Danio rerio: one gene and its partners. The protein of the gene in region 3 interacts with the protein of the main gene of each other region in a pairwise test. Links are inferred from orthologs where the notes say so. Each region holds a gene or a part of one and is shown on either strand. Other genes may lie near its edges.

What was found.
Region 1: the proteins of gorab (region 3) and rchy1 interact in a two-hybrid assay, tested with the Homo sapiens proteins (3 studies listed by BioGRID and IntAct). The link is inferred for Danio rerio from reciprocal best matches to the Homo sapiens genes GORAB and RCHY1.
Region 2: the proteins of gorab (region 3) and scyl1 interact in a two-hybrid assay, tested with the Homo sapiens proteins (2 studies listed by BioGRID and IntAct). The link is inferred for Danio rerio from reciprocal best matches to the Homo sapiens genes GORAB and SCYL1.

What each region holds. Positions count from the first base shown.
Region 1 is NC_133180.1:9,853,674-9,857,327, reverse strand, and holds part of rchy1 (RING finger and CHY zinc finger domain-containing protein 1), read right to left. Parts: intron 3,437-3,654; coding exon 3,407-3,436; intron 475-3,406; coding exon 354-474; intron 1-353. UniProt on the Homo sapiens protein: E3 ubiquitin-protein ligase that mediates ubiquitination of target proteins, including p53/TP53, TP73, HDAC1 and CDKN1B. Mediates ubiquitination and degradation of p53/TP53; preferentially acts on tetrameric p53/TP53.
Region 2 is NC_133189.1:50,214,048-50,218,403, reverse strand, and holds the start of scyl1 (N-terminal kinase-like protein), read left to right. Parts: upstream 1-1,454; 5' UTR 1,455-1,508; coding exon 1,509-1,616; intron 1,617-2,380; coding exon 2,381-2,521; intron 2,522-4,341; coding exon 4,342-4,356. Other genes in the region: zgc:194285 (uncharacterized protein LOC793726), read right to left, coding at 21-488. UniProt on the Homo sapiens protein: Regulates COPI-mediated retrograde protein traffic at the interface between the Golgi apparatus and the endoplasmic reticulum. Involved in the maintenance of the Golgi apparatus morphology.
Region 3 is NC_133195.1:37,777,693-37,781,674, reverse strand, and holds the end of gorab (RAB6-interacting golgin), read right to left. Parts: intron 1,857-3,982; coding exon 1,478-1,856; 3' UTR 556-1,477; downstream 1-555.

The DNA of each region.
Region 1 (3,654 bases), on a different chromosome or scaffold from region 3:
ATTTGCTCTTCAGTGTTTGAACTCTCAGTAATGATTTTAAATCACACTGAACTGAGCTAAACTGAACTGAACTTAAACACTAAAAACTGAACTACCCTGTTCCAGTTACTATGACCATTTATGTGAAGCAGCTGTGACACAATCTACATTGTAAAAGCGCTATACAAATAAAGCTGAATTGAATTTGTTAACTGTCATAGAAATGTAACAAATAAATCTTTAAAAAAACGAGCATAAACACAACTTTACATATTTCTTATGGAAAATCAGCTATTGACTTTGGTTGTGTCTGTGCTGCTCCTTATTTGCAAGTTGTGTTAAGATAATGAACATGTAAATGAAGGCTCGGTAACCTTGACTGTACTGTCCTGGTACTCAGTGGGCATTGGAGTCTGGGAGATTTCCTCATCCATCTGCTTCCAGTACTCCTTCATGTTGAAGGCCGAGTGCATACAGAGAGGACAGCGATACGCACTGCAGGACAGAACAACACACAGGGTCATACAACTATAAGACTGCTTTATAGAATGCAATGATTGTTTAATATGGATGCATCAAATTTTTGGACAGGAAATGGCATTTGGTTTTGACCAAAAGAAAAAAGGGAAAGTGTTTAGGGCACTGGTTTCACTCACTTTCAAACTGTAGTAACTGTGCTCAGTGTAGAGGCTTTCACACAGGACACAGAAAGCGCTGCACTATAAATCCTATTCATTGTAAAGGCTTGCATTGCGCAATGGTTATTTAATTAGCCTGTGCGTTTTAAAATCAGTAAAATTTTTCATTTAAATATACAAATTTTACATTTGAAAATTCTCAGAAAAAAAAAAGATTGTATAATCCTCAAAATGAGCCTTTCGGTAGAGGTCTGCGACCAGATTTCTGCGGCGCGGGAATAAATTTCCGAATAAATCGCGGGAGCGGTCGGTAACGGGTTTAATTTGGGACGGGAGCGGGCTGTCTAGCAATATCGCGGATATTGCGATGCGAATGAGAGAGAGAGAGAGAGCTTTGCCTGTGTGTGTGCTTGGTGCTTGTGTGTGTGTATGTTAGTGTGCGCGCACGAATGAGAGAGAGAGAGAGAGAGAGCTTTCCCAGATAGCAAAATACACTCGGGCCAGTTCCGGCTAGATTCTTGTCTGCCGGAGACTTACCACTCGGCCCGGCTCCGGCTGCCGGACTCGAATCAATTGGGCCAGATACGGCGGCCGTAAGCGAGCCGACGCTGCCGCATCCGCGCCGGAATCGGCCCGAGGGTAATGTGCGCTGCGGCCCGGAGCTGGCGCGACTCAGTATTTATATACCTTTATATAAAACCTTTTGGTATTACATTGGTACTTGATACATGGTATTACAAGCCTTCGAGTTGATATAACAGCAAACGCCTGTGTGTCTGCTTGGTGCTTGTGTGTGTGTTAGTGCGCGCGCGCATATGAGAGAGAGCTTTGTCTGTGTGTGTGTGCTTGATGCTGTGTGTGTGTGTGTTTATACAGACAGCTTGGCTGTCTGGACTGTATAGCTGGGTGATTTTCGGTTTTGTTCTCCCCCGCTCTTTAGCAGGATCGGGCGCGGCGGCCAGAAAACGGGGCGGGTCGGGCAGCGGGACAACAAATTTTTAATATAAGCGGGAGCGGTCGGGTTCGGGCTAAAACCTGGCTGGTGCGGGCGGGATTCAAAATTTAGTCCCGCGCAGATCTCTACCTTTCGGTGCATCCCTAATATTAAAAGCATGTACACATGGTTAAGATATGCTGCTAGAGCATAGCACATGGGTTTGAAATCTCTTAAATGCTATAATAATCTTTTTTGCGGCTTTATCTATCATTATATAGTTATATAGGCCTTGGCATTTGAGGATTTAAGGATATAGTTGTAAAAATAAATTACAATTGCCTAGTAGTTTTAATCTTTTATGAATGTCTTCTGTTCAACACAAAACCAGATATTCTGAAGAATCTGGGGAAAAAGCAGCCATTGTCATCTAACCAATATTTTGGAAGCCAATGGACCCTATCATATACCTGGCGCAATGTGGTGCAAGTCGCGTCACAATTGTTGTTTGCTAGTTTCAGCTTGGCGCAAGAGTTGTTTTGAAGTTTTGCACCACGCTGTTTAAATAGCAAATGCATTTGCTCTCATGTGCGCGCCCATAGGCGCTCTGGTCTAAAAAGGGAGGCGTTCTGACGTGCATTGCTGGCGCGTTGCTATTTTGAGAAACTTTAATAGATTTTTTTATTGACCAAAACAAATCCAGTCGAAAGTCCAGCGCAGAGATGTGCCTCACTTACACACTGCTTAATACACACAAGATGTAGAGCAATAGGCAAATATCTTTACATATGAAAAAGAAATAAAATATTAAGGATATATATAGGATATAATAAGAATATATATAGGATATAAATATAAAGGATTAAAATATTACAAACCATATTATTTTCTAGCCTTCCTAAATATGAAAAACCACTGCCTTCATGCCTTCTTCATCTCCGGAGGCTTTTTTAGTTCATTCAATTTGCTTTTGTATAATGTTCTTATTATTAGCAGTATTATTTATTATATCCATATTTATATTTGTTTTATTAAAAACAAGCTTAGATTTGCCCACCTGTCAGGTTTTAGACCATATGGGGCACAGCATGTGTATTAGGATGTAACTCAGGTTTTTGAACACACTTAATTATTATTGTTCATTTATTTGTTTGCTGGAAATTAGAACTGAATTTAGAAATAGTTTTGAAACAAATCTTTGCGCTTAACAAACATAATTAATTATTTTTAGGCTAATTGATGTCTGTGCGTCAAGGTTTCCCTATGCACAAGAGTGAAAGTGAAAGTTAATCAATTATCTCTCATTTTTGCACTGCAGATGCTCCGTTTAACTGTTTTCTTGCTAGTGAAATGCTCAGTTTTTCCACTTACACTTATTTTACATCATGTAAATAGCAAACACGCTATGCCGTGACACAACTGGCTCTTAAGGGAATGGGAGATGAGGCTCTGATTGGTTTATTCTCAAAACACACCTATAACTCATTAAGAAAATAAACTCAACCCTTTTAGACTATGAGCCACGGCGCAAAGTGGATTTTTCCGTCCTTATATTAGCAAAAATGGATTCTGACACGCCCTGAAAGCGTTTGCGCCCTGCTCTTTATGCATGGATCGTTAAAATAAAGCCTAATGTCTGCTCTTTCCAATATTCTTCCAAATATTTATTTTGGGAGAAACAAAAGATATAAACTCAAACATGTCTGGTCAAGTGGAGGCAGATTCCATAAATAATTCCAGAATTTTCATTTTTATGTGAAATATGCCTTTTAAATGTATGCAAAAAAAAAAGAATAAACTATGAATTATGCAAAAGATAACATTAATACAACAAGCAAATCAAATTGACACTTACCCAGTTTTCAACATGTCATCAAAGCAGGTTCTACAAGCAAAAAAGATAAAGTGTATGAGCATTAAATTACATACACCTGATAACTTTATAATAAGGGCTCATGACAATATAACGAACACACACATTATACATGCACATATACTATGTAAATACCCATTTGGGATGCAATTAGTCAAAATTAATCGTCAAACACAAAAAAACAAATACAGTACCTATTTAGTATCCAAGATCAGCGAATCAGTGCATAT
Region 2 (4,356 bases), on a different chromosome or scaffold from region 3:
CCAACTTTACCCATCTCAAGTTATTCTGAAGGTGTGTCGTTTAATTCTGGAGCCTCCGCGGGAATCGGAGCCTCGAGTTTCTGTTCTTTGTCGACAAGATCGTCGTCCAGTTGTGCTTTACTTTCCGGTGTGGTTTTCTGCTTGCTATAGCCCATTTGCTTCAATGCACGGCGTGCTGTACGTTCAGAGATGCTCCTCTTGGTCTCCTCGTTGTAACGAGCTGTTAACTCGGTTACGGTAGCTTTTCTATCAGCCTTAATAAGTCTGCTCATCCTCTTCTGACCGTGGTCATCAACGAGGCTTTTTCGTCCACATTCCTGTCGGCCAGTGGTTGTTTTGTCCTTCAATGACCATTCCCTGTAAACCCTGGAGACTGTAGTGCGAGAAAGTCCTAGCAGCTCAGCGGTGTCGGAAACACTCAGACCAGCCTGTCTGGCTCCAACAATCATCCCGCGTTGAAAATCACTTAAATCACCTTTCTGTCCCATTCCGAAAAGCAAATATATGGTCAGGTTATATACGATTAAGAGAGTTGACAAAACAAATGCCTCTGTTTTATTAGAAGTAAACCAAGAAAGCGCGTTGGCGCATCAACAGTCGTCTTAAGTGTTTTATTATTGGCGGTTTGTATACAACTTCTTGGCGCATTACCGCCAACTGCTGGTTAGGAGTGCAGGTTATGATCGCACATACTATTGTGCATACAGACCAAAAACGCCCCCCCCCCCCCCCCACCCCCAACGTTATTTGAATTGAAGATGAATCCAAATAATCTTGATGAACTCTGGGAGTCCTGCAAGAACGCTTTCTTTGCCATTCCAGATGACTGTATTGTGTAAGTGATTTGAGTCATTGCAGAGATGTATGGATGCAGTCCTTCAAGCTATATATATATATATATATATATGATTAAAACTTCTGTACAACAAGATGAAATACATTCAAAGCCAAAAAGAGCGTGTGCGCTGGATTGTAATGTAGGAATTTTCTTAAATATTAACTTTAATGTTGTATTCTGTTAAATACCCGTTTACGTCATTAAAACTGTTTGTAAAACAGAGGTATTGCTTGTGTTTCAGCAATGCATGACTTCTAAATGAAAGTGCAGCCTTGTTTAAGACCTCAGTCAGAGTTTGATATTGTGTGCATCTCAAAGACAAAAATATTACACTGTATTATTATTATTATTATTAGATAAAATGTTGAACATGAAACAGTTAAGAAACAAGAAAATGTAAAGTGAACGGCCAGAGCATCAAGTAAATATTTGAAGCATCCACACTATTACAATTAAATATATTCTAACCTAAAATAAAAGCTTGAGAAAACGTTTGAGGGATTATCTGCTCTCTATGTTACCTATAATAATAATATCAGCAAAAGGAGCAGTAGAAAAATGATGGTCACGTGACCATGTTTCGTGCATGGTCGGCGGCGGAGTCGGTGCGCCCTCTATTGGTTCGTTGTCCGTCCAACAGCAACACCGTGGGCTGGACTGACGGGGAAGGATGTGGTCCTTTTTCGCTCGGGATCCTATTAAAGACTTCAACTATGAATTATTACCCGAAAACCAAGAAAAATCAGGCATATGGACCCTTAGCCGGGGCAAGCGCAAGGTAAAATGACTTGACATACTAAAATAAAGCTAATAGTGTCGCAGCAGGCCGCTAAAGCCTCGGGCTAAAGTGCAGCTACATCCCGCTTAGCATCCCGCATCAGCGTGTGAACATAAAAGCCAAACGAGCAGCTTTAAAACACCCACGATTTGTAAAAAGGTTATATGTTTTAATATCCACGTATCACTACCTTCTGGGGCGTATTAGTTTGATAATGAAATTATTTATTACAGAAAATTAGATGTGTCATCCTTTCACCAGAGTACGTAACATTGCTGTGGCCACGTCAACAGAAAGCTGGTCACATCAAACTGCTGAATAATATTTACGTGACAGTCATATGTTTTCAGTTGTTTCTTTGTTTTCTGGTATTTGTTATCGATTGTTACATTGGTATTGCTCGTTTAATTATGTTTAATGGCAGAGGAAAGCGGCAGTGTTATTATTAGTGATTACTGTACACGTGTCCTGACAGGCCATATATTAATAACTGTACCCGATCATCATCATTTCATCTATCATATTAGCAACTGCATCTGATGGCATTTTACTAAACGTACCGATGCATCAGTAACTATAGATCATCTAATTAACAGAAGAGTGGCAGATCAGTAGAAAGGGATGTACATTGCAGACTTTATCAGTGTTTTTAAAGAATAGTAAACATATTCAGGACATTCTGGTTGTGCAGGTTTTTCTAAATTGCATTTTTCTTTTCAGATGAGTTGTATATCAACCTAATCTGTACCTTCCTTTTATTCCAGTCGACCGGTGAACCCGTGTCAGTCTTTGTGTATGAGGTTTCTCAAGGAACGGAAGAGCAGACACAGCTGGCTAAAGCAGCTTTCAAGCGCACAAAAACCCTCAGACATCCCAACATCCTGTCGTATGTAGATGGGCTGGAGGTAAGGATGTAATGTTGATTAAATTCACCTGTTTATCGGTGTAATGGTGAATCATATGGAGATTGTTCTCTTGAAACAATGTCTCACTCCTGATTATTCAGGTCCTTGTCAATAATAAATGGCTATTCTGAAATATTCTGCAATCCAAGAATAGAAAAAGAATAAATATTGGTCATTTTAGGGCCATTATAGTGCATAATCCTGTACACACACACACAGTAACTGAACTGACTCCTAAAAATCTATGGTGGTGACATCTAGTTTTTGGCGAGGCAGTGGCACAATAGGTAGTGCTGTCGCCTCACAGCAAGAAGGTCGCTGATTCGAACCTCGGCTCAGTTGGTGTTTCTGTGTGGAGTTTGCATGTTCTCCCTGCCTTCGTGTGGGTTTCCTCTGGGTGCTCCGGTTTCCCCCACAGTCCAAAGACATGCGGTACAGGTGAATTGGGTAGGCTAAATTGTCCATAGTGTATGAGTGTGGGTGTGGATGTTTCCCAGAGATGGGTTGCGGCTGGAAGGGCATCCGCTGCATAAAAACATGGTGAATAAGTTGGCGGTTCATTCTGCTGTGGCGACCCTGGATTAATAAAGGCACTTAGCCGACAAGAAAATGAATGAATGAATGACATCTAGTTTTTAATAACATTCATTCATTTTCCTTTGACTTCCCTTTATTCATTTTGCCACAGCCAAATGAACCCCCAACTTATCCATTATATGTTTTACACAGCGGATGCCCTTCCAACTGCAACCTAGTACTGGGAAGCATCCATACACGCTCATTCACACAAATACACTATGGGCAATTTAGCTTACCCAATTCACCTATAGCGCATGTGTTTGGACTGTTGGGGAAACCGAAGCACCTGGAGGAAACCCACACCAACATGGAGAGAACATGCAAACTCCACACAGAAATGCTAACTTACCCAGCTGGAACTCAAACCAGCGACCTTCTTGCTGTGAGGCGACAACCACTGAGCCACCGTGTAACCTTAATGATGTTATGTAAATATTTTTTATAGATTTTGTGGTATATATTGTGATTGGTATTTGCACCTTTAGTAACTCCATAAACTGGAAGTCTTTCTGAGCACAAGCAAAAAACCAAAAGGACATGTTTATGCCAGTGGCCTGTATTTGCTGTCATACAATGACTTCAGTAGGGAGCAAAGTTATTTGATCATTAAGGCTGAATGAAAGTATAGTTCCTACTAGAAAGAAGCAAGTCATTTTCCATCTGTGTAAGTAGTACACAACGTAACTACAGAAGAGTCAAACTTTAATTAGGAAAACTATTGAAACTCTTTGAGTCATTTTTGATGAAGATGTTAGTGGTCAAATCTGATTTGATGATCTATGCTGAGCTAAGCTAAAAGGGCTGCAGCCAGAACCGGGAATAGCTGAATGGATAAAAAAATTGTAACATTCACTGATTAAACTCGAGGGCTGTTATATAGTTAGCCTTTTTTTTAAACTGAAGTGTCATTGGCCACCAAACTTGTTCCTGGAGGGCCGGTGTCCTGTAGATTTTAGCTCCAACCCTAATCAAACACACCTGAACAAGCTAATCAAGGTCTTACTAGGTATACTTAAATCCAGGCAGGTGTGTAAAGGCAAGTTGGAGCTAAACCCTGCAGGGACACCAGCCCTACAGGACCGAGATTGGTGACCCCTGCTTTATATGTTCATGAGTGACATGACCTGTTCTTAAAGTGTGTACATGGCTTATGTTAGCAGGAGGTTTTACACAAAATTAAATGATAATTATCAACGATGCATTTTTAATTAATTCAACTGTGTTTTCCTGTTTGACATCAGACTGAGAAAAGCTTG
Region 3 (3,982 bases):
CTATATTTCCCAAGAGTTTCTCGGGTTACGGAGTCTTTTCAACCTGTCCCGGCGGACTGAGGGCACATAAATCAGAAATGCGCTCTCGCAAACTGTGCTTCTCCTTTCCTGTATTTACTTCCAGAATTTGTCAGTCCTTGTTTTGTACAATCAAACCAGAATATAAAGAAAGTAATAGGCTACTGCAGGTAATATTTTAGTGATTTCATCTTATTACATGGAATTATAATATTTAATGTAGCTCTTGTAAACATTAACGCATTATGCACCTTTTAATTCATAATATAGCAAAACAATCTTTTCTATTTCTCAATAGCCGTCCATATATTTCTGAACGCTTTAAATGTTTAATTGATATCTATAATAGCACTGCAAAGATGTTTCCCTAAAAACTGCTTACATCCTATTAAAAAGATAAAATCAACTTACATAATCTTCACAACAAATTAAAACATTCTCCTTTAGATGTTTAAAAGTCATACAAAAATGTAAACTGGTCTTTTAGAAAGTATATAGTCTTGAGTGCAATAAAAAAAAAAAAAAACTTAAAACGGATTGATATTTAAATATTTTATTTAACCATTAAAATATGTATATGCCTTGACACCCATTCGTGCACGCATGAAATGAAACGAAAGACATTACAATTTACTTAAAAAAAAAAAAAAGTCATATCCTAAACCTTTTTTAAAAATAAATATCCTGACCATTATATAAAATGTTTTCATAGTTGATGACGGGCTCTATAAGAGCATTTGACAAGATTTTTAAATTCTATATACTTTTCACACTCCAATAGAATTTTCCCTCATACTGTACAAAACAATCTCTGCTGAGTAAACCATCAGCTTTGCAAGAAAAAAAAAACTGCTGTTATTGATTTGTTAACATTCGCATAACGTTACTTTTATGAGACAACCACCATATACAGATAAAAGATCCCACCATACACTTGTGCAACATCATGTGAAATAAATCATGACTACAAACTACCACCAGACCGCCTGCCACTAATTCATTTTGAATAGTGTCACAGTTATGGAACGATATAAAATTAACAGTATTTAGTATTTAATGTAGTGTTTTCAAGAGATTTGTGGTCCATTTTCTTAATGCAAGACAGATTAAATTATACAATGACATCCAGATGAAGCACAATAAAAGGATGCAGCATTGTTTTAACTCCTCACATTCAGGATCAAGTAACAGTTTAAATGAAAACAATCACAATCAATATCTGAGTCCCATAATGCCAAGGCATTTTAGCGTTAGTAGTAATGGAATTACCTTCATGGCATTTGAGAAGACACCAACATGGCTTTTGTATAATCCAAAAATGCCAAAAATGTTTAAATAAAGAAATATAGGATCATTGCTTTTGTTCAGCATTCTCACACAATAGAGATATTTGTAAAGCTGGTAGCAAGTGTTATGTAAAGCGTTATGAAGCCTCTTTTAAATTAATGATGCTTGGAAGCTAGCGAAGCCCATCTGCTGAAACATCTGCTGCTTCACTCTCCTGATTGTCTTGGCTGATCTTGGTTTCTGTAATGGAACTGTCTTTGCTCATACTTGAGCCATTCGCCTCTGTACATCTCTCCAGCTCTGCTGCAGGACCGTTCTCAGTAACAGGCTCTTTCTGTTTGTCCTGTAGTTGCGTTTGATCTGGACTGGGCACTTCCTCAGCATTTAGCTCCAGCTGCAGCATCAGCTCTTCCAGTTTGCGGGCCTTGCGCAGCTCGTTCTGTTGGATGATTGCACACAGGTGCTCTGTCAGCTGCTCTTTCACCTCGGTCTTCCTGTGCAAGTCCATCTTAGCGGCAACATACTCAGCCTCTGCTTTCTCAAAGCGCTTCCTGTTAACAGTGAGAGGGATCGGCAGAGATAGTAGAGTTAGATGTATGAAGATCAATACAAGCTTGAGGTGAAGGAACACTGAATTCTTTTAAAAATAAATGACCAAGTTCATACATTCATTTTCCTTTTGGCTTAGTCCCTTTATTAATCTGAGGTCACCACAGTGGAATGAACCGCCAACTTATTCAGCATATATTTTACACAGCGGATACCCTTCCAGTTGCAACCCATCACTGGGAACCACCCATACTCTCTCCTTCACACACATACACTATGTACAATTTAGCTTACCCAATTTACCTATAGCGCGTCTTTGGAATTGTGGGGGAAACCGGAGCAAGTAACCAAGTTAATTTAATAAAATAAAAGCTTGCAGTAAAGCCTAACTAATAGATAGAGGGGGTCATTTTCAAAATAAAGGATTCCTAGTAAATGATGAGGAATAAGTGAAACACATTAGTATTCCATTATTTTTCAAATTTTATTTATGCAATATTGCATTTCAAGTAAATAAAATTAATTATCTGAGTGATACTCACACTTTCTCTACACACACACACATATACAATATGCATAGAATATAGAAGAGTTCAGATGCAGAAGCCTCTAACTGCCAGCTTAGAAAGCAATACAAAGTTCTTTTGTGTAAAAGGATTGGTTATAAGCGATTTTCTACTAGTGTGCATTAGCATTTTAAATGACAAACTACCTTGAAGGGTCTTTTAAATCTCATTGTTATTGGTAAATGTTAGGTGCCTCTCTTTTGTATGTGTACCGAGTTCAAGACAAATTTGCTATTTGAGACCAAGATGAATTTCCTGAAAAGTATAACTCAAGTCATTTAAAATTTTCTTCCAAAACTAGCATTTTTTGCAGCCTCGTGTTTCTTTTTTATTATTTCACTTTAAAAACAAAAAGAACCATAAAAAGCCATAAAATCGCCATAAAAAAAGACAAAACTGAACATACACACAGAAGCCTTCAAAAAATTTTTTAGAATTTGGACAATTTTAGTAGTTTATAGAATTAAACAATTTGGTAATGGTTTGTTTATTTATTTGTTTGTATACTTTATTGTACCTCAAGGGGAAATTTCCCTGGACTCTCAGAGCACTTCAAGTTCTGACACAATAAAAATGATAAAATAAGCAAACATCCTAAAGAATTACATACAGGAAAAAACGTAAGCACACTATCGATCCATGTTCAATAGTCTGATTGACACTGGGATAAAAAGAGTTCTAAAGTCTGTTCCGTTTCTACCGTGAGGTTCTGCATCTTCTATCAGATCGTAAAATGGAAAGTGTACATGAGATGGATTGCTTAGAATTCTTTTTTACTTCATTCAGACTGCATTGCTCATAAAGTGTTTGAATACTATTTATGTTGATAGATTACAGGAAGGCTTCTCCTACCCCCAGCATAACAACTAGTAAAGGTGTGGTCATTGAAATTGTTGACACACATAAATATCTAGGGGTCTTTATCTACAATATGTTGACATAACACCCAGGCTGTTTATAAAAAATAAAAACATTCAAAGACTTTTTTTTTCTGGGAAACTTCGATAATTTGGGGTTTGCAGCTCTATGGTGTCACTGTTTTATAAACAATTTATTGAATCTGTTTTATCTTTCTGCATTTTTGCTTGTTACAGTAATCCGAGTCTGTCAAATAAGAACAGGTTGAGTAGTCTTGTGAAGGTGGCAGGCAAGGTCATCGGTTTTAACTAAACTGTTCCAATGATAATTTACCATAATTATGTTTTAAAGAGAGCTCAGGGTATCTTATGCACTCCAGGTCACCCATTGTTCTCCGTGTTTTAGCTGCTGCCATCAGGATGTCATTTTAGAGTTCCTAATGGGCATTGTCCTGCAAATAGGTAGCCATTAGGTCATTAAATGAGTCCAGTGGGGAGGGAGATGCATCTAAATATGATGTATTGTATGATTTGTGGTAATATTTTGCTAATGTGTACATGGAACTTTGCCTGTGTTATGGCACCTTACTGCAATTTTACTTTCTCTAAATGGGATACTAAAGTTGAGTCCGAGTTTGAAATTTTACTTCACTATATTGTCATTTAAAAATGTTAAACTTTATTGCAAAAAAAAATTCAAAAGGA